Linked DNA regions of Callithrix jacchus. The protein of the gene in region 5 purifies or fractionates together with the protein of the main gene of each other region. This does not show direct contact. Links are inferred from orthologs where the notes say so. Each region holds a gene or a part of one and is shown on either strand. Other genes may lie near its edges. The genes, in order: PELI2, VANGL1, CSNK1D, NEDD4L and DVL2.

Region 1 (4,112 bases), on a different chromosome or scaffold from region 5:
AAAACTATCCAGTGATCAGAAACAAAAGGTTATTTAGAAAAATTCCTGTCACATTTGCTTCTCTGTTTACAATTTCTTGAAAACATTTATACAAAATTCATTGAAATTGCACGATTTTCCTTAGAAAATGCTTCTCATATTTATTTCAGCCATATGCATTGTAAAATGCAGAAGCTGTGCCTATAGCTGAAAAATGGTGTAAAATAGAAATAAAAATAACCATTCCCTTCCAGTAAAGAACAGCAAATCAGGGTAGCAAAACAGCTCCCAGCTTCTATATCTATCTATCTATCTATCTATCTATCTATCTATCTATCTATCTATCTATCTGGTTTTAGTTTTTCTTTATAGCTCCCAACTTCTTTTTCCATCTTAGACATCTTTGGTGATGATCCTTCTCTCTGAAAAGTGCTAGGTCAAATCCTCTACTCCTTATACATTTTGCTCTGTGGGAGTTTTGAAAAACTCCTTCTTTTCTAGCTTCTAGAAAAAGACATTTTTTCTCCTTCATTCTAGCTTCTACCTAACAAATTAAGCAAAAGTACAGGAATGGATAGTTTAGTAAAAATCTTTCAGCGGCTATGCCACATGGCTATAGCAAGATCAGAAACCCAAAGTTCTACATTTAAGGTACTATAATTATTCTCCAAGGAAGAATGGGTTTAAAAAACTGCTTTAGGGCATGGGGATAAGTGGTGATATTTATAGGAAAATATTAACATGCCAGGTCAATGTAGTATATAAATTATTTCAAGTGAAAAGTTCTAACTATGATTTTGGTGGACAATATAGAGAATTCTGCATTAATATATAAGAATTCAAGGGGAAAACCAGCTGACTTAACTATTTCTTAGTTGCAGAAGGTCTAGTAAATAATTCTTTTTTTTTGTTGTTTTGTGTTTTGAGACTGAGTCTCACTCTTGACACCAGACTGTAGTGAAGTGGTGCGATCTTGGCTCACTGCAACCTCTGCCTCTCAGGTTCAAGCGATTCTCCTGCCTCAGCATCCTGAGTAGCTAGGACTATAGGCATGTGCCGCCACATTCAGCTAATTTTTTTATTTTTAGTAGAGATGAGGTTTCACTCACCATGTTGGCCATGATGGTCTCAATCTCTTGACCTGTGATCTGCCAGCCTCAGCCTCCCAAAGTGCTTGGGATTACAGGCGTAAGCAACTGCATCTGGCATAATTCATTTTTTGTTTTTTTGAGATGGAGTCTTGCTCTGTTGCCCAGGCTAAAGTGCAGTGGCACGATCTTGGCTCACCACAACCTTCACCTCCAGGTTCAAGCAATTCTCCTGCCTCAGCCTCCTGAAAAGCTGGGACTACAGGTGTGCACCAACATGCCCAGCTAATTATAAATAATTCTCTAATTCATAATTTTTACTAATTGTTTTTGGACTACTCAAATGTTTTCCAAATCAATAAAGTTTTACACTAAAAATAAGTTTATTTTCCTTAAAGTGAATTTAAGTAGATTTTTGTGGTGAGGTCTATAATAAAAGATAATGCTCTTAAGGTGGTAAGGAGCAAAAGGCAACTTACTCCCACTATGGGAAAAGTTGGGCCATTGAAGAAAATAAGGCCCTTTCCCTCTTGCTTTCAGGTGCCTGTGGAATTCTGCTTCTCCTGGGTTATGGTACACAGTGCTTGGACCCGTACAAAGGTTCTGAACCTCAGGGGAGGGAAAACGACAGCCTCTGTGTTAGGCTTGTGTTGTGTGGAACATTTTCCAGAGTGAAGTGCACTCACCAGCTTTCCTCGTTGCTGGGCCGACCTGGTTTCTCGCAAGGTGTACACATCTCCACAGACGGAGATCTCGCGCCAGACCCCAGGCTGGGACTCCTCGGTGAAGCCCCCTCGTGGATGCATCACCAGGACGCCATTCGTAGTGAGCCCATCCATGTGGCCGTCAGGGTTTTTCCACTTTGCTGCCTTTTCCTGGAGAGTACAAGGCAGAACACAAAAAGCAGGCTAAGATGACATTCAAATGGAAAGGATTCTGGAATTTCTTTAATTCATTGCGTAGAGGCAGAGGGAAGGAAGGTGATGAATTTGCATTTTCTATTTAAAGCTTATAATCACACAAGGATAAAATATGCAATTATTTTGGCAATATAAAAGTGTTGAAACAGATGAATGATTTATCACTGGACACATATGATAGTTCTCAAGAGCTTGCAAAAAACTGATGGCTGGGCTCCTCCCTCTGATTCTTTTTACACTCCCCACAACCCCATGTGATTCCAGGAATCTGGTGTGCTTTCTCTTTTCAGTTATATTTGGGCCATGCTCTTATTCTGCTACCCAAAAGTGCTTTCTATGTACTCATTGTCAGGATAGAGAAGTAAGGATAGTCATAAAGAAACATTTTTTATTAAAGGCAGAAAATTCAAAACATGTGAAGCCAACAAGTCGGGGCCATTATGTTTTCCCAACAATCAGTGTTTATCTTCTCAAAGATGATGGCACATGTAGCTTGACATGATGACAGGACACTCTTGGGTGCCTGTGCCACAGCTCTTCCCCTCAGCTTTCTTGGTGACAGAGCTCAGCTACTGTTCACGAGGCTGAGGGGAGGGAAATCCTGATGAAGCCAACATGACACTCGTAGCCCTCTTCCCAATGGCTGGTTTACAGGTGGGCATAGAACATGTCTGGGCTCTGATTGATGACACATATCTTCTGGGAAGCTTCCGTAAAAGGCATCTGTGCTCTAAGAAGAGACAAGGAAGAAACAGTGCTTCTGCCACCCTATTCTCTGGTTGGAAGTTGTCACGTGGCAGGGGACATGTGGAAGTGCAGGAGTCAGCTGTCACCCAGAAGAAGACTTCTCATGAAGAGGCTGGTGCGCCATGGGAGGCAGAAGGCAAGACAGAGAGAACCTGGGGCCCTGGATGTCACAGAACCACTGAACCACCAACCCTGGAGCTGGCCTTCTTCAGCAATTCTTATGTGGCACAGTACATTTTCATTGTTTTTAGACCATTTTGAGTGGGTTCTTTTTTCCCTACAAAAATATCCTAATTCAAAAGGGAACTAGGGTAAACCTGGATATTCACTAAAACTTCTGGGGTTCATTTACAAGGAAACCCTATGAGGACAGGGATTTAAGTCTGTTTTATTCTCTGTAATCCCACATCTAAAACACCCAGTATAAAACATAGCAAACATTCAATAAAACATTTTTGAATGAATGAATCACTAACATTTTCCTCTGAGCCCTAATGATCTAAATTTGGCCATTTATTTCTCTCTCTGAAATAAACCTATAACTGCCATAAATGCTTTATGGACAATGTTCTACGCATACTTAAAAACTTACTGTAAATATTACAATATAAAAAAATATAATGAACAAGTAATGGTTATTAATGTTCAGATTTTTAATGACAGTTTCTCAAACTGGCCACCTGAAAACTAAAATCTGCAAAACCTCATTAGAGGCAACATATAAAGCCAATTTTTTTTGCTCCAACTAAATGTTCCATATCATAATTATAAGCATTTTTCGGGAAATCACGTACTTCTTGACAGTACTTACTCCAAGGAATATGTTTTTGGAAGAGTCAAATCCAGCGGCAAATATCCGTGCTGTGTAAGGCTCATTCCTGTCACACACGATCCTGCAGGCAAACCTGGATATGGTGCTCTGTGTGATCTGGGCTTCATCCGTGTTCTGGCTGCCAGAAATCGTATCTGTGACAACGAAGTCGATAGGGCTTTCTGTTGATCTGCCCACCTAAATGAATCAAATGTGCTCGTGATTCACTTGGAAAATAGCATGGTGCTGTATTTTACCCACATGGAAAAGGCATTCAGGATCCCTTCAACATTCACTATCTTTGTTCTGAGCATCAGAATTTAATGCAAGATTTTCATTTGTGCTCCTTTTCCTATTTAACTAGGGAAGATATTAGGGAAACCAACCATTTTATATATATATATATATGTATATTTTTATATATATATATATGTATATTGTATAAATATGTATATATATTTAATTTTATTGTATTGTGGTAAGAACACAATATGAGATCTATCCTCTGAAATATCTGAGCACACAATGCAGCCATTGTTGATCTCAGGCACAGTGATGCTCAGCACA
Region 2 (4,112 bases), on a different chromosome or scaffold from region 5:
TTCGCTCATAACCAAATAATCCCAAATCTAGTAATAACCAAAAAAAACATGATTTATGAAATGTATGGGCAATGGTAAGAAGTGGTGGTGGTGAAGGTCTCAGTCCTATGAACCAATAATCCTTCAACTTGGAAAGTTAGACGGATCACATACACGAAATTCCTATTTAAGATGATGGCCAGAGGCAGCCAGGACTCTCAGACACCGCTGGTGGACGTGGACCATGGTACAGTGCCTCTGGAAAACCACTCTGGCTGTTTCACATAAATTTAAATATACGCTTAACTCTATGGCCCAGCAATTCCACTCTCACGTTTTATCCAAAAATTAATAAAAACATACATCCAGCTGGGCGCAGTGGCTCACGCCTATAATCCTAGCACTTTGGAAGGCCAAGGTAGGCAAATCACCTGAGGTCAGGAGTTTGAGACCAGCCTGGCCAACATAATGAAACCCTGTCTTTACTAAAAATACAAAATGAGCCGGGCATGGTGGTGTATGCTTGTAATCCCAGCTACTCAGGAGGCTGAGGCAAGAGAATTGTTTGAACCCCAGAGGTGGAGACTTCAATGAGCTGAGACTGCGTCCCTGGACTCCAGCCTGGACAAGAAAGCAAGACTGTGTCTCAAGAGAAAAAAAAAAAAAAGAAAGAAAGAAAAAGAAAAGATATATCCAACAACAGACAACAAGAAGAATGTTCATAACAGCCAAAATGGTACAACCCACATGTCCATCGACTAAGAGAATGGATAATATATTGTGGTACACTGATACAATGGAATACCATTCAGCAAAAGTAAAAAAAATAAGCTGTTGAAACAAACCAAAACATGGATAAATCTCAAAATCATTATGCTGAGCGGGGTGGTGGGTGTGAGGGAGACAGACCATATGATTCTAATTATATTAAATTCAAAAACAGGCAAAAATTAATCTACAGTGATAGAAATCAACACAGTGGTTGCCTTGGAGAGGCGAGGGTGAGGCAGAGATTGACTAGGAAGGGCCCAAGAGAATTTCCCGGGGTGCACATGCATGCCTAAAAAATGTACATGTACAAAGGGTCCTGTCAAGCTTGAGGTTCTTAGAAGAAAAAGGACCTAGGATTCTTTCATCAAAACCCCTAGATTTCCATAAAGAAACTGAGGCCTACAAAGGCTGTGACTGCTCAAGGTAACGGAGCTACTGAGAAATACAGCCTCCAAACACCCATCTCAATGCCTTTCTCACCAGATTATCCTGGAGCAGCACCAACAGCTTCCCAAAGTAGTTCTCAGCTATGAGGTGCAGAGGAGATGTGGAGAAAGCAGCGCCCTCATTGTAGGCCACCAGCACCTCTGAATGCACATCCAGGAGGAAACTGACCGCCCCCCCCGCCACGCTCCAGGGTGACCCAGTCCTAGGACTGGCCCCATCCAACCACCAGCCACCCCACAGCCAAAGCAGGCAGCACTAAAGACATTTGCTCACTGCTCAATGAAGCCCATGTTCAACCCACAACTGTCGCTTTGTGTCCCAAGAGCACCTTGTGTGCTCCTAGGAATTCCAAGTCCATCTATCTGATTATAAATGCTTACCTGTGTGTACGCAGAGGTATGTACAGATTTATGCTTATCTACAGTCCTACATCTATCTTTACAGCTGTGTATCATACGCTGCTTTGTTTATGAGGGGCAAGGCTGGACATGTGTATATATATTTCAGGATGTGCAGAGGGTGTGCAAACATGTTTCTGTGTATAGTTCAGATGTTTATTTAAATCAGATGGGCTGCCAGTTGGAACCTCGAGAAGAACCCACTCAATGTTTTAAAAAATGAAGTATATTTCAAAAATAATATAAAATATAAAAAAGAAAATTAGCTTTTCTTTTTCTTTTTTTTTTTTGAGACGGAATTTTGCTGTTGTTACCCAGACTGGAGTGCAATGGCACAATCTCGGCTCACTGCAACCTCCGCTTCCTGGGTTCAAGCAATTCTCCTGCCTCAGCCTCCCGAGTAGCTGGGATTACAGGCAAGCGCCACCATGCCCAGCTAATTTTCGTATTTTTAGTAGAGATGGGGTTTCACCTTGTTGACCAGGATGGTCTGGATCTCTTGACCTCGTGATCCACCCGCCTCCCAAAGGGCTGGGATTACAGGTGTGAGCCACCGCGCCTGGCCCTCCAGCTTAAACACTGAATCCTTGAATTCCTGAGCAGAGTAGGTGTCTGGAGCTGCAAAGCTGCTGTTTCCTTTGCAGAGAAAGTGCATTCTTCAGTTTGCCACAGGCTCCTTCACTGCACACAACAGCAGTGACACTGAGGCACTGCAGAGACTGCTGTTAACCCAAAGCTTGTTTGAGATATTTTTGCCCCCTCTTGTTGACCCAGGGCCTCCTTAATTAACTTATGTTCCTCTACCAGGTATCCGTGTGTGCAGCCTCTGATTTACTGCATAGATCTAGTAGTAATGTTTCAGTCTGGGCTGCCCCACGTTTTTCCCTCTTCTTAACACTACGTAGGTTTTCTGGGTTTCCTTCTCCTTCTTATACTGTTCCATTTTGAAATGAGTTGTGGGAGACTTCAGCTTTTCCCTTCCCTTCCCTGTCGTCAACCTGGCTGGCTTCTTTTCACACCATGCAGAGCAGGCCAACCAATCATACTTCAGAAGAATCCCCAAGCTACCAAAGGGCAGGACAGGCTGTTCTTAGACCAACAAGAGACCAGAGGACGTAGATAAACTAATTAGCATGCTAGGAAAATAAAGACAGAAACCCAAGAGAACCTACTGCAACAAGACTTAGGAAAACATTTACAGAAAGGAGTCTTGGCCACGTGGCAGTGTGCTTACAGACGGCCGTCGATCGTTACCTGAACTTCCTCTGTCCGGGTGGAATCGTTTGCCAACAGGGGCTCTCCAGTGGGAGCTTGAATGGTGACAGACTTTTCTGACCCTCTGCCATCTTTACTCCGGGGTGATTTGTGTCTCTCTCTAGTTCTCTCCCTGAAAAACAACAATGAGCTAGCACATTTATGCCATGTTAATTAACTCTCTGGGTTCACAGAAATGTAAGTATCATTTTGAACTTAGGAAAATTCTACACACATATACATGGGCCCACGTGCACACGCAAATGCACACACAGCATCAAAACACGTACATCCTCACCACTCTTCAAGGGGTACACAGATTTTTACTGCCTCCTTAATATTTTCCTTCTGCCATTCCAAGACCCAAAACAAAGAGTCACTCTTCCTTTATCAACAGCGATATTTTTTTCAAAGACTAAAATTGTAATTTTAGAATTTCTGTAGCTAGTTACACCTTCCTGTAATAATTACTGGTTTGATTTGGTTGAATTGTGTACTTCTCATTCTTACGAGTTCAAAACTAAGTCATTCCCATAGGTTCTAGCTGAACTTGAAGACAACCACAGAAACAAACAAGCTAGGGCAAAAGGCACCAAGAGTTGTGGAGGGTGTGTGTGTGTGTGTGTATGTGTGTGTGTGTGTGTGTGTTCGGGGAGGATTTCAGGCCTCCTGAAGAAAGCAGTCTGCTGCATCATTTTACCCCACAGGAACTTCCAGGGTGGTCTTCCAGGGTGATTGTAAGAATCCTGCCTGGGGGTCATTCATGAAATTCCAAAAGGAACCAATCACTGTGGTTCCTTTTGTGGCCACCTAAGGACTTCTCAAGGGTCAGTGAGTTCCCTCAGCCTCCTGCCCCCACAGCCTCCTTGACATCAGCCCTGCTTCCTACAATCACTCACCCTCATTGCCAAGGTCTCCCGGGCAGGACAGAAGCAGATTTTGGAGACAGAGATCTTGGTTCCGCCCTACCAGATGTGTGATTGTGCACAAGTTATTCAATCTGTGAAAACCTCAGTTTCTTTATGAAATGGTGACACCACCACCTAATGTAAGTAGTGCTCAGTACAAGGATGTGGAGTAAGTGTTAACATACGGTGGCTGTAATTGCTATGACCATTAGCCAATGTCAAAGAATGGTGACTTCGCTTAGTGACACAGAGTGCATATACCCCGGAGAAAGAGATGTAAGTAGAGCTATTAACACACGACATATCTTCTGTTAACCTACTACTTAGCTTAAGAAAATGCAGATTTTGACCTCAT
Region 3 (4,716 bases), about 64 Mb from region 5:
GCCAGATGGAAAACAAAAACCCAAAAGCCAGGCTCAGAGCAAGGTGAAGCCCACCTGAAGGAATACCAAAGTGACAGCAGCAGGAATGGTTTTAACTATGCTCATATGAGAATACACACAACACACACAGGTCCAGTCCCTCGATTCGTGTCTAACAGGTTGCCCAAACCAACTATGGTGGAGATGATTTCACGGTCTTCAGATCAGCCATCTTGACTCTAACTGCTGCTCTGCGCAGACCCACACTTCCTCCAGCCTGCCTTACTCCGGGTTACATGACCACTTCACTTTTCATTTCCTCAGGGGGGTCGTCTGAAAGGACTGAAATGTAGGCCAGGAGCCAATGCTGATGGAAAAAAAACAAATCAGCTGTGCCCAACCCCACTCAAGTAACTGGACATGTACCCTGATGGATGGTTGTCTGAAGGCTCCAACCCCAGGGCGCCAGAGCCACAGTCACCGGAAATCCCTACCCTAATGGTTTCCAGCGTGACTGCATGCCCAGCATGAGGTGAGGCCTGAGGGTGCAACCATGAGTGAGCAGACAGCCTGCCACCTTCCACCTTTGTGAACGACTTGGTAACAACCACACCAGAATTTGTCTGAATCTATCTTTGGAAAGCACAAAGTTGTTCTGACAAGGTCTCAGAGGAGTGCAGTGGTGTGACCTTGACTCACTGCAATCTGTACCTCTCAGGATGCCTTAGCCTCCTGAGTAGCTGGGATCACAGGTGACGGCCACCATACCCGGCTAATTTTTGTATTTTTAGTAGAGAAGGAGTTTTGCCATGTTAGCCAGGCTGGTATTAAACTACTGACCCCAAGTGATCCGCCAACCTTGGCCTCCCAAAGTGCTGGGATTACAGGTATGAGCCACTGCGCCCAGCCTAAAATACTTCTTTTTGATGCCTGCCTAAGAGTGGTTAATGGACTGGCTTTGCAGTGTAACTCAGACTGTGGAGTTAAAACTTTTGCCAAAATCTATCAATCTATAAATAAGCCAAATGCCTTCCATTTACCAAGCACTCTGACTTCCAAAACACTGCCAAGAACATATCCAGCTGACCACCTGGGTATAAATGTTTAGTCAACCCAAACATCTAAAGCGTGTTTTACTCACAGGCTGCTAAGGCATATATACAGGTTCAAAAGCAACAATATGGCATGTGACAGGGTTAACTGGTAGGTTAACCAGGCACCCAAAGTATGACCCACCCAAATGTATGGGTTCAGCCTAATGCTGTCAGCCCACTGGGTCCTGAGTCATCTCTCAGGTGAAAAGTGAGAAGGGTATGAGATGTAGGGACTGTTCACATGCGGATTAATCTAAAAAGTGCGACCAGAGGCATTACTGACATCCCATAGGATTCCGGACCCTGGCTGTGCCCCAGCCAAACACACCCCAGAGATGGGGCTGCTGGAACAGAGAATAGGTCCCCTCAAAGGTCTGCATCAGGCCTTCTGCAGGCACACTGCCCACGAGGCTACACATCCTCAAGTTCAGGGGGTCTTGGAATAACTCCTGTATTGCACAATCCCACTGACAAGTACGGAAAATTAAGTTACTTTAAAATTATGTACAAACTTGGGCTGGGCGTGGTGGCTCATGCCTGTAATCCCAGCACTTTGGGAGGCCAAGGGGTGGGAGGCGGGGAATCACCTGAGGTCGGGAGTTTGAGACCAGCCTAACTAACATACAGAAACCCTGTCTCTACTAAAAATAGAAAATTAGCCAGGCGTGGTGGCACGCGCCTGTAGTCCCAGCTACTCGGGAGGCTGAGGCAGGAGAATCGCTTGAACCCTGGAGGTGGAGGTTGCAGTGAACTGAGATCATGCCATTATACCTGGGCAACAAGAGCAAAATTCCATCTCAAAATAAATTTTTTTTACAAACTTGAAGATGTCAGCCAATCTTTCAATACACTTGTGCCCACATGCATATTCTTCTGTTGTAAATATGACAACCCAGAATGTTCTAATCCCATTTTTTTTTTTTTTTTGAAATCTACCTTGAGAATGTTAAAGGACAGCTCATGAGTACTACTACTTCATGGGCCTCTCATTTTGCCAGCATCTTAACCCTGTGGGACTTTCATTTGCACTCAGTCACCGCTCCAAGGCCTAGGGTCGCAGTGCAGAGAGAACCCCCAGCGGTCAGTCATGACGGCGGCCGCGAGGTGGAGGGCAAGCCCCGCTCCTAGCCAGGCCACTCCCCCAGCTCCACACGGCATTCGGGTCTTTCTGACATTATCCCCCACGCGTGCAAGACGCATGGGCAGCCTCTGACTGGGGAGCCAAACATCCTCGGACAGGGCTGCGAAAGAAAGAGCATGGCCTTTGTTTATCTCGGAGACCTCAGGCGCGGAGCAAGCCGACACTCGCCCGCGGCCCCGGCCCTGCCCCGCCCCCTCCCCCTCCCCTCCCACGGGCCGCGGCCCCCATCACGCCCTGCCCCTCCCCTGGGCCCGCCTCCCCACGCCCCACCCAGCCCTTCGCGGGTCCGCTCCCCGACGACCCTGCCCCTTCCCGACTCCGCACCCCCGAGACCGTGCCCCGCCCCGGGTCGGCTCCCCTGTCCCCTCTTTCCCACCCCTCCCCTCTCCAGACCCCGCTCCCCCACCCCCCGACCCTGCCCCTCCCCCAGGTCCACGCCCCACTGTCCTCCCCAACCCCGGCCGCGCTTGTCTAGTGGCCGTTGGGTTCTAGCGACGACCCGGCGGCGGCAGGGCTTGCGCGCGGACCCCGCGGGGGCCGCCACTTCCTTCCGCGGTCGCACTTGGTCTCGGTAGCCGCGGGGCCCGGGTCCTCAAACGGCGGGTGGGGACGGCGGGGCCTCACCAAGATAGATGTCTCCGAAGGAGCCGCTGCCAATCTTCCGACCCAGCCGGTACCTGTTCCCGACTCTCAGCTCCATGGCGGCGGCGGCCCGGTTCGATCCTGCCCTCCCGGCCGCTTCCTGGGTCTGAGCTCCGGGAGGCGGCGCCACTGCTGCCGCTACTGCGGCTCCGGCTGCCGGCTCCGCCCCCCTCACGGCCCCGCTTTCACCATCGCTTTCCCGTTGCCCCGTCGCTCCCAGCGCCTCAATACGGGGCGGATGGGACAGTCCAAGCGCCGCCGCCGCTGCTCCGGCCCCTGCCGGCGCCGCTTGCCCTCTCCCCGCCGCGGATGGACTCGGATCTTCGGGGCCTAAATCCCCTTTCAGCAGCCTGAAGGAGCCGCCGCCATCGCGCTGTGACGTCACTTCCCTTGGCAACCCCCTGGCGGGTGGGGCCGCAGTGCTCGAGGGGCGGGGGCGGGTGGGGCGAGCGCTCCCAGCCTCCTCGGACCCTGCACCGTCTCGCAGGGCCCCAGTCCCTCTGCCCGCCCATTATCCCAGGACCTCAGGCCGCCAGCCCCTTCCACGTGCAGGCTCCTACCGCTCTCACTGGGGCTTTTCGTGTGTCCCCCGAGATTTCGGGAGAGCCAGGTGAGTTCCTGGAGACAGGCGGTGCCCTTTGCAGGAGGGAACAGGTAGCTGAGGCCCGGCCCGGAGGACACAAGTGAGACCTTCTCACTTGGCTGCCAGTTCCCGGGCGTGGGGCATCTCAGGACGTCAGCGGCTTTGCCTCCTGACACCTGAGGCCAGAGACAGAGAGGCCCGCACCCTGGGAGGTCCTGATGTCCAGCCTGAAGGATGAGGACGAGGCTACCACCTTTCACAAAATGAGGACAGACCACCTGCCTCCCACCAGTCCCTGCGGCCTGGAGACCGAGTCAACATTCTTATCTGTGTTGGATCTGAATATTCCTCCTTGCAAAAGAAAACAAGGATGTGCACGTTCAGGCTGACGGTCAGCTTCAAAGATTGGGGCCTTTGATTCCCATCACTGGGAAGAAAGCCCTCCAGAGAAGCCCCCCCAGGCTGCGGCGCATGGGGACCATGAAGAACCAGTCCCCGTGGTCCCATGTCCACCTGTCTCAACCTGTCCCATCCTTGCTGAAACTCAAGAAGGTGAAACAGGTGAATTCAGGGCTCTGGTGTGGGCACCGTGGCCTAAGTGAGACAGAAGCCTCAGCTGGCATCTGGGTCACTGCAGAAGAGGAAAGCAGCCCCCGAAGGGCCCTGCAGTGGCACCCACCAGTCTCCATCCCCGTCTTTCCTCTCCACCCCTCAGCTCCCATGGAGGTAGATATCCCGGGGAGGCAGATATCCATTCCTGAAGTTACACAGTAGGGCCTGAAGACAGGAGATGCAGTCAGCCAGACACCATCAGTCACTAACGAGGGACAGGCAGTCGGAGCTGCCCAGTTTCTGAGTTACAGAAGCGGGTGGTGGGGGGGAGGGTGCACCAGACTGGTAAAAATCACCTTGTTGACAGAATCACTCACGGTTTTTCTGTTGATGAACAGAGCCCAACTCACCTGCAGGTGACAGTGATCCTTGTGATCCTTCCTCCTGGGGAGTCCTGCCCTCGCTGACCAGGGGCACCTGTTCACCTGTCAGCTGCTCCTCCCCTCGGCTGGTCCTCTGGGTTCTGATGGCCCAACATTTCTAGCTCTTCTCATCCATGGTGCCCCAAGCTTCATGTAGCCTGCAGCAGGTACTGTGCCCATCTGCCTGGCTTTTGTGTGTTTGTGTCTTGACTCTAAAACCTGTGCACATGGACAGGGCTGTGGTGTAGCGGGGATGGTAGCAGCCCTGGGAATGTGGGGCTGGGTGAGGTGAGGCAGGCTGAT
Region 4 (4,112 bases), on a different chromosome or scaffold from region 5:
AGTTTTTTTCCTTTTCTATTCTAATATTCAAATCTAAGAACAGCTATGCTGTTCTCTCATTTGTTCACTTCCTCTTTCAAAAATAAAAAAACAAAGCAAACCCCCAAACCAACTCAAAACAGATTTTTAAGCTGCAAATTATCTTCAGGCTTCCCTCCATCCCTCCATCTTTTGTCAAAATGAGCAGTCAATTTAGGGTGTGTCTTCTGCAGGGAGAATCCTGCCTAGGCCTTTGTTTAAAAGTGATAACGCAGCTGTGTCAGCACATCTGAGTTCGCTCAAGAAGGGGAGTAACTTGTGGAATTTCCAGTTGTTATCTTGAGGACTTTCCATACTGGCAGCAGCAATAAAATGTTGTTCTAACAGATTATAATTTTAAATCAGTAAATTAGTCAATAACAAGTATCTGGGTAAAAAGAGACAACTGGAAATTAAAAATGGGTTTCATTCAGCAACGATGCAGGCAATAAATAGAGTGAGTGCTGTTTAATTTAAAATACAATCTGCCCAACAGCAATTACACTGCTGTTGAAAGGCTGTGAAAGGTTAAGGGATTCGATTACTAAGCTAGTTGAAATTACTAAAATCATAGCTTATGTTGGCAAGCCACAGTGGCTCCTTACACTAATCCATCTACTTTTATATTCTTTAGCCCTTATTTCTGGAGCCCGTTTCTGGCTGAGGACTTGAAATTACAGCAGTGCTATAGTAAATGAGAACACTGGCAGGACAGCCAGGGGTTTCATGGTAATAAGAGAAAAGATTAAAAACCAATCTCCATGACTATATTTTCCAAAGAGCTGCCCGTCTCTTCCTCTTGTCTTGCCTGCAAATCTGTAACATTATCTTCAGACCAGTAGGTAAGTCAAACGAACCTACATGTTATTATATGCCTTAGAAGCAGTTATCAGTTTACCAAATGAATGTTACCAGCCCTAAATGAGAAGTTCTCTTGGCAGGCCACTCCATTACTTCAAAATAGAAAGAGCTCACAGAGTGGTTCTCACTTAGGGCTGTTTTGAAATGTGTAGGGCATTTTTGGTCGTCGCTATGTTGGGGTGGGGGTAATGGTGACCATTAGTGCCTGGTGGCAGAAGCCAAGGTTAAGTGGCCTGAAACTGAAGGCACAAATGTCCCTGCCCCAAATGCCAAGAACACCCTTGAAGACACAATGTCCCATGATCCAAAGGATTCTAGGAGCACACCCTCTAGACCTGCTGGACTGAACTGATTCCACACAATGGGCGAGGCACAAAATGACAGCCCAAATCCCGTTGGTCAGGGCTTGCTCCCGATCTAGCAAACGGACACACTTAATGTCCATCACTGGAAATGGGGATTTAGGGTGTATGTCCATTGCTGACACAAGACCAAAGAGCTAGGGACAGTGACAATCACGAACACTCAACCAGCAATCCCGTAACAGTGGTTCTGAGCAAGCAGCACAGACAATAGTAGGACTAAGCTAAACTCTGAGTTAACTTGAGCCAGACAATTAGATGGGAATATAACAGGCAGGAGGAACAACCATCTGCAGCATCAAAAATAGCCAGAAATTTCAGTTTCACTACAGGTACAGAGATTATATAGTAGAAAATACCAACTGACTTTTAAAAGAATTATATGCTACACTGAAAAAGCCACCTGCTGATTGAGCTAAAGAAATAAAGAACTGATGGAGAAATATAAAGATATGCTTGTATTTTCACCTTTGATTAATGCCATTTTGCTCAAGATAATACAATGTACAGATTCTTTCTTTCATACAATTCAGAAGCACATGAAAGAGTTGCATGCTAAGAAAAATCAATTCTGACAAAATGATCACAAAAAAGAGCTATCAGATTTATAACCAAAGCCACTCAGTACATCCCCTACCCCGTGATTAAAGGCATGAAAAGGCAGCACAGATGTGTGAATACTGAGCTGATGTGAATAGTAAAAACTGAAGTGACAAATCAAAAGAAGGTGGATGATGCCAATAAAAGTGCAAAAAAAAAACTGACAAAAGAAAAAATTATTTGAAAATGATTATAACTCCTAATGAGACTACTTCGTTGAGATGGGATGGAATAATAGCAAAATCTTAACAGCACAGAGCAGTACCTTTCCACCCAGTATGGCCAACTGTCTAAACCAGAGCTTCCCAGGAGAAAAGGTGGTCCCAGCACCAAGAGCAAAGAGAGGTACCAGCCTGTGCCCCCCCCAACTCCCACCCGCCCATCCATGCAGGGGCCAGGTGCAGGCTGAGGAGACCCACTAGAGACACCCTTTACAGTCAATCCAATTCCTCTGCAAGAACTACAAACACGGAGTAATGAAATAAAGAAAGTAATGCCAGACTTCACGATGCAAACGGGGCCAAATAAAAGCAGCAGCCTTACCCAGGTTGTAGTCTTTGTGTTATGATCAATGAAGAAGGGCCGGCCGTTTGGCGCTATCCTCATTTCCCAGCCGGGTGGCAAGAAGCTCTGTGTGACTTTGTGTTGTGGTTTGGGGGAGTTGTAAGGTGATGGCTGTGGGGACTGTGGGTTGGAAAGGGTGTCTTTCACAGCCCGACGTACGGGTGAGTCCTTGGCACCCTAAAGAATAACAATGAGCATTAGAACTCTTTAGCACGTGTGATTCCAATGTGTCAAAATGTACCAGGGCACTGTAGAAGGCTCCTCTTTGGAGATGGACAAGAGGGAAGACCCCCCCAAAACCTGTTTTCCGTCATTCATTTACTTTTAAATCAATCTAACTTTACATTTTCTCTGTTGGATAAACACACGACAATATTAAGTACATATAACCACCGTCCTTTGGTAGCCACTCAGTATGCCAAAAAATACTATTCTGTACTGAGCATTATGGATAGAGATTTTACAGAGTGGAGAGAAACGTGCCCTTGCTCTTAATGAGCTCACACTCTAATGAAGAATAGATTGGCAAGTTTTAGAGGGGGAAAAACAAAGAAAAAAGAAAAAACTACATCAATAAAAAAGATCTGGAATCTCACAGTCGTTACCCATGACATTTATATCAGAGTGTGGAAAAGACAGCATCTATTCCCACTTAGCAGCATCTTGACCCAGGGCATGGAGAAGCCCACAGCTGTCTCTAAAACACAGGAAAGCTTAGGACCTCAGACATTTGCTCTTTGGCTTCTCTAACTCTGACATTTGTGATGTTAAAGGATGGCACTAAAACAACACAAACACAGCAGAGAGCACAAGCGGATGCCCAGCCACGATGCAGAGATGCCAGTGTGCATCAGAAACACATATGCCCATATAATGAAAGGCCCTACAGTTGAAGGAAAAAAAAAATGATCAAAGCAACAGCTATGTTGAACAACTCAATAACAGCACTTGGTATTTGAAAGAGGGAGTATGCAATTCTAATGCGGTAACAGGCAAAAAAGGAGCAAAACACAACAAGAACGGTGGAAATCCTGAAAAGAGAGATGCCCACATCCAGCACAAGTCACCATGGCTTCAGCCAAATGAGAATGAGAATCAGGTGAGAGAGTCCAGGAATGTTAACTGGGCGAGACAGAGAAGCAGGTAGAAAGGTCGCACGAGAACACCCTTCACCACCAACACAACGACTGATCAGAGAGAGGAGGTGGCTGCGAAACTGAAGGCAGAGTTAAGAGAGAAGAAAGAATGGGGAGTCACAGGACAGAGTGAGTCCATTTAGATGAGGTAGCCGTCTCACCTCCAGCGGGGCAGATAAAGTTACTGTTGGCGAGCTGAGGCTACGAGGCCGGCGGATCTGAGGCTCGATTAGATGGTTGCTACTGTTTGTGGCTGATCCGGACGCACCATCTTCTGCAAGCTATTTTGGAGGCAAAAACAAGTTAGCTTCATAGGAGTCTCTCCCTGTGTGTGTGATTAGGAGCGCGAACCCAAACAACAACGCAACCAGCAATAATAAGAGGTCTGGCCTATTTAAAGCATGGAGGAAATAATTAAACATAATGATGGGGGAAAGGATGGGGAAACACATTTAAGGGAGATAAAAATGAATCACTAGCCCAGCATAAAAACTAGCCTCGGATTAAGGGGGTGGGGAGGGGAAGAAGCTTCGCACTGCAATAGGCTCTTGCTTTGAAAATATGTTTCACG
Region 5 (4,112 bases):
CTACATAACATCCACAAAGAACTCACTGGGATTGCCCATGGCCATGTGGAAGCTTTGGCGGCTGGCTGTCAGTTCTGGGGGCACAGAGCCCAGGTCTCTGACTGGAGGGGCCCCTGGAGGCTGCACTGCTGGAGGGACTGGGGGTGGGGGTGGGGGCATCATGACCACCATCATGGGGTTGTAGGGGAGGGCCATGCCAGGGGGTGGTCCATAGGGATGGAGCCCCGGGTGGGCTCGGAGATTAGGGGCACCCCCACTTGAGCCTCTGGAGGAAGGAGGGCCCCCATCGCCAGTCCCACTTGGTTCCCCACCCCACCGAAGGCTGCCCCCTCGGCTGGAGGGCTCAGACTCGCTGCCACTGCCGGATTTGGACTCGGGGGCCCGCTCCTCAGGCCTCCCTGTGCGCCCTGCCCCCCCATCACTTCGTGTCGACCCACTGCTCCGGCTGCCTGTGGAGGGAGGGGAGGGGAGGGGCAACTGAGTCCTCACCCAGGCTCCTCCCTGGCTCCCCTCTGATCCACCCTCAGACCTGGCTTATTAGGTATCTGGGGGTGACTTACCCTCACTGTGCTGGCTGCTGGCACTGCCCCCACCATAGGTATAAGATGAAAGCTCATGGTAGGGTGGGGGCTGCGGGCTGTAGGGATGTGGGGCTGGGTACTGGTAGGAGAAAGTGGGCAGCAAGGGCCAGGGGGCAGCCCCAGGCAGAGGGGCCAGGGTGTCCTGGTCTGAAGCCCCACTGGAGCCATCGTTGTCATTGAGAGACAGGTTAACTAGGTCTGGAAAGCAAGGGAAGAGAGTAAATCACTGCTTCAAAGAGACTAGGGCCCTAAGACACTGAATGAGAGGAACTGGAACAGTTCTCCCAGACCCACCCACGATGGGGCTCAAAACGGGTTCACAAGGGCCTCTGACAGGAAACTCCCATCTACTTCTGCCATGAGGGCAGGACACAGCCAGGGCCACCACTAGCCCATGCCTCTGCGGGACTCAGAAAGAGGTGCACCTTCCCCCGGTGGACAGTCCTGCACCTGGCGTGGTTTGTCCAGCAGCGCATGGGTGGACGTCAGCCCCCATCCTTGGCCAGTGCAGGACCTAGTTCGGGACACATGCTGCTCAACCATCCATGGTGGCCCTGGCTGCGGTTTCTGGGCTAGGTCTAGGGTTGGAGAGGCAGAACAAGGCAGGCAGAGCCACACTCCCAGAGTCAGGGCAGGGGGACTCACAGCTCTCACAGCCACCACTGAGGTCTCCGAAGATGTAATAGCACTGCTCAGAGAAGGTGATCTTGTTGACAGTGTGTCGAATCAGGCCAGCTTTGAGCAGTCCACTGGCATATTTTCGGGCCTCCCGCCGCTCTGGAAAGCCCTCCACATGATGGTAGAGCCAGTCAACCACATCTGAGCCTGGGGGCACCCACAGTGGAAAAAGGGCTCAGGTTCTCCTTCCAACTCCTGCTCTCACCTCTGCCTGTGCTGTTCCCAGCTTCGGTCACCTCCTCCTCCCCTTCTCCAGCCACCTGCCCAGGACCCAGCCATACCCAGGAAGGCATTAGGGATGGTGATCTTGAGCCACATGCGGTCCCGGACTTCCAGCCCAGACTCTGGAGCTGCCATGGCCTTAGTGACCGATGCCATGTCTGTGTGGATGGAGAGACCCCGGCCCTCACAGCCTGGTGGAGGAGACAATGGGGCATCAAGAGGCAGGGTCACTCCCACAAGGGCCATGGGTCACACCACTTCGGGGCAGCCCTCTGGCAGGAGGGTGAAATGAGGTAGGCTGGCAGCTCACCATCAGGCAAAGAGGATCCTGATGTAATGGTGCTCATGGAGGAGGAGCCTGGGTAGGCTGGGAAGGTGCCAGTCAGAGCCGCGGAGTGGGACACCCAGGCAGCAGGGTCAATTGGCTGGATGGGCTCATCTGGGACAAAGATGGTACCAAAATGACCCCTTCTCAGTCCCCAAAAGCCAGCCCAGTCCCTCCCTGACTCAGCCTCCCGTTCTACCTCTGCCTGGACCTTCCTCCACACATTCCCCATAATCAGAGGCCAGCCCCAGCCACCCCCACCACCAACTTCAGGCCCCTCCCTGAGTGTCACTCACTTCGGGGGAGGGTGAAGTAGGCCTGAGGAGAGGGATCCCAGCACTTGGCCACAGTCAGCACGATGGGGCTATGGGGAAGAGAAGACCAGTCAAGGGCTCAGGGGAAGAAGAGGCCTGGGGTGGGGGGGCGCTGAAGCAAGGATGAATTAAGAGACACAAAGATGGGGAGAAGCCAGCATGTCTCAGCTGGGCTAGGGAAGGTGAGGGTGGAAGGCACCACAATGTGAATGACTCATCAACATGGAAACTCTTAAAAACATACTGCCAAGTGAGACGAGAGTACACGCTGTACAATTCCATTCAAAGAAAGTCCAAAGACAGGTAAAACCGCGCTGTTCAAGGATACATGCAAGGGTGGTAACTATGGAGGGAGGTAAAGCTTTTCTTTGTTGTGGTGATGACCCGGGAAGTCAGCAGAGTGACTAGCCCTGGGGGGTGAGGCATTGGGGAGCAGGAAGGGGGGTCTGTGGAGGGGGATCTAGGGTGTCAGCAATCTCTATTTGATGGTCTAGGTGGTGGCGACATGAGTATTCGCTCTAGTATTATTTGCTACATCACGAATTTGTTTCATGTACTTTGAGTGTTATGTCTTACTCCCCCTTTTTTTTCTTCAGAGTCTTGCTCTGTTGCCCATGCTAAAGTACAGTGGCATGGCAGTTCACGGCAACCTCTGCCCCTGCCCCAGAGTTCAAGCAATTCTCCTTTCTCACTCCCCACTAGCTGGGACTACAGGGGAGCACCACTATACCCAGCTAATATTTTTTTTTTTAAATGGAGTTTTCACTTCTGTTGCCCAGGCTGGAGTACAATGATACAATCTTGGCTCACCGCAACCTCCACCTCCCAGGTTCAAGCGATTCTCCTGCTTCAGCCTCCCGAGTAGCTGGGATTACAGGCATATGCAACCACACCCAACTAATTTTATATTTTTTAGAAGAGAGAGGGTTTCTCTATGTTGGTCAGGTTGGTCTCGAACTCCTGACCTCAGGTGATCCGCCCGCTTTGTCCTTCCAAAGTACTGGGATTACAGGTGCGAGCCACTGCACCTGGCCATTTTTCTGTTTTTAGTGGAGTTGGGGTTTCACCATGTTGGCCAGGCTGGTCTTAAACTCCCGACCTCAGGTGATCCACCCACCTCAGCCTCCCAAAGTACTGAGATTACAGGGGTGAGCTATTGGGCCTGATTGTCTTACCACTTATTAAAATTGCAAAACAAAAAGTTAAAGGGGGAAAAAAAAAAGACTGACGACCTGCAGCCTGCTCAGCAACTCACCCAGGCTTGTGCACAATGTCCCTCAGCACCCGCACGGCGTCATCATTGCTCATGTTCTCAAAGTTCATGTCATTCACCTGGAAGCGAGGGGAAGGGGGTCAGAAGCCGGCTGGGAGAGTATGAGGGCCCCCACACAGGGCAGCTCAATGGCCCTGCCCCAACACACCTGCAAAAGCATGTCCCCTGGCTCAATGCGCCCATCGGCTGCCACGGCCCCACCCTTCATGATGGAACCAATGTAGATGCCTCCATCTCCCCGCTCATTGCTTTGGCCCACAATGGAGATGCCCAGGAAGTTGTACTTCTCTGTGGAGAGAGACCGTGTGAGGGGAGGAGGCCCCAGTCGCAAGCCCCAGAGAGACCAGGCCCTCCCCACGCCCTCGCCACAGGCTTTCCCCATACCCATGTTCAGCGTGACTGTGATGATATTCAGAGACATTGTGGAATCCGTGACACTGCTGAAGGATGAGGTCTGTGGTGGGAAAAGGAGGAGCTAGAGTGCTCTTCAATAACCCAGTCTACACCCTAGGGCTCTGCTGGTGTCCTGGCACCATCCAAACCAAGGCCCATGCCCCACCTTCTCCCCGCACCGGTATTCCCGTGGGAACCCCCTCACCCTCTCCAGGCGAGGTGGCCGCTGTTTCCTCCGCCGCCGGTGGCGCTTCAGGAGGCGGGAGGCACTGCTCTGCTCCGTGGAGCTGCTGAACCTGTCAGGCGGGAGGAGAGCAAACATAAGC

The links.
Region 1: the proteins of DVL2 (region 5) and PELI2 purify together in Homo sapiens (affinity purification with western blotting; 3 studies listed by BioGRID, with this or other methods). This does not show direct contact. The link is inferred for Callithrix jacchus from reciprocal best matches to the Homo sapiens genes DVL2 and PELI2.
Region 2: the proteins of DVL2 (region 5) and VANGL1 purify together in Homo sapiens (affinity purification with mass spectrometry; 4 studies listed by BioGRID and IntAct, with this or other methods). This does not show direct contact. The link is inferred for Callithrix jacchus from reciprocal best matches to the Homo sapiens genes DVL2 and VANGL1.
Region 3: the proteins of DVL2 (region 5) and CSNK1D purify together in Homo sapiens (affinity purification with mass spectrometry; 3 studies listed by BioGRID and IntAct, with this or other methods). This does not show direct contact. The link is inferred for Callithrix jacchus from reciprocal best matches to the Homo sapiens genes DVL2 and CSNK1D.
Region 4: the proteins of DVL2 (region 5) and NEDD4L purify together in Homo sapiens (affinity purification with mass spectrometry; 4 studies listed by BioGRID and IntAct, with this or other methods). This does not show direct contact. The link is inferred for Callithrix jacchus from reciprocal best matches to the Homo sapiens genes DVL2 and NEDD4L.

The regions. Positions count from the first base shown.
Region 1 is NC_133509.1:90,945,350-90,949,461, reverse strand, and holds part of PELI2 (E3 ubiquitin-protein ligase pellino homolog 2), read right to left. Parts: intron 3,744-4,112; coding exon 3,546-3,743; intron 1,943-3,545; coding exon 1,754-1,942; intron 1-1,753. UniProt on the Homo sapiens protein: E3 ubiquitin ligase catalyzing the covalent attachment of ubiquitin moieties onto substrate proteins. Involved in the TLR and IL-1 signaling pathways via interaction with the complex containing IRAK kinases and TRAF6.
Region 2 is NC_133508.1:153,653,431-153,657,542, reverse strand, and holds part of VANGL1 (vang-like protein 1), read right to left. Parts: intron 2,983-4,112; coding exon 2,850-2,982; intron 1-2,849.
Region 3 is NC_133506.1:137,905,473-137,910,188, forward strand, and holds the start of CSNK1D (casein kinase I), read right to left. Parts: upstream 2,965-4,716; 5' UTR 2,915-2,964; coding exon 2,839-2,914; intron 2,147-2,838; exon of another isoform or gene 2,010-2,146; intron 1-2,009. UniProt on the Homo sapiens protein: Essential serine/threonine-protein kinase that regulates diverse cellular growth and survival processes including Wnt signaling, DNA repair and circadian rhythms. It can phosphorylate a large number of proteins.
Region 4 is NC_133514.1:101,386,901-101,391,012, reverse strand, and holds part of NEDD4L (E3 ubiquitin-protein ligase NEDD4-like), read right to left. Parts: intron 3,823-4,112; coding exon 3,703-3,822; intron 2,583-3,702; coding exon 2,385-2,582; intron 1-2,384. UniProt on the Homo sapiens protein: E3 ubiquitin-protein ligase that mediates the polyubiquitination of lysine and cysteine residues on target proteins and is thereby implicated in the regulation of various signaling pathways including autophagy, innate immunity or DNA repair.
Region 5 is NC_133506.1:73,717,303-73,721,414, forward strand, and holds part of DVL2 (segment polarity protein dishevelled homolog DVL-2), read right to left. Parts: intron 4,083-4,112; coding exon 3,992-4,082; intron 3,848-3,991; coding exon 3,778-3,847; intron 3,682-3,777; coding exon 3,542-3,681; intron 3,453-3,541; coding exon 3,376-3,452; intron 2,171-3,375; coding exon 2,103-2,170; intron 1,921-2,102; coding exon 1,792-1,920; intron 1,673-1,791; coding exon 1,541-1,672; intron 1,407-1,540; coding exon 1,227-1,406; intron 780-1,226; coding exon 561-779; intron 450-560; coding exon 1-449.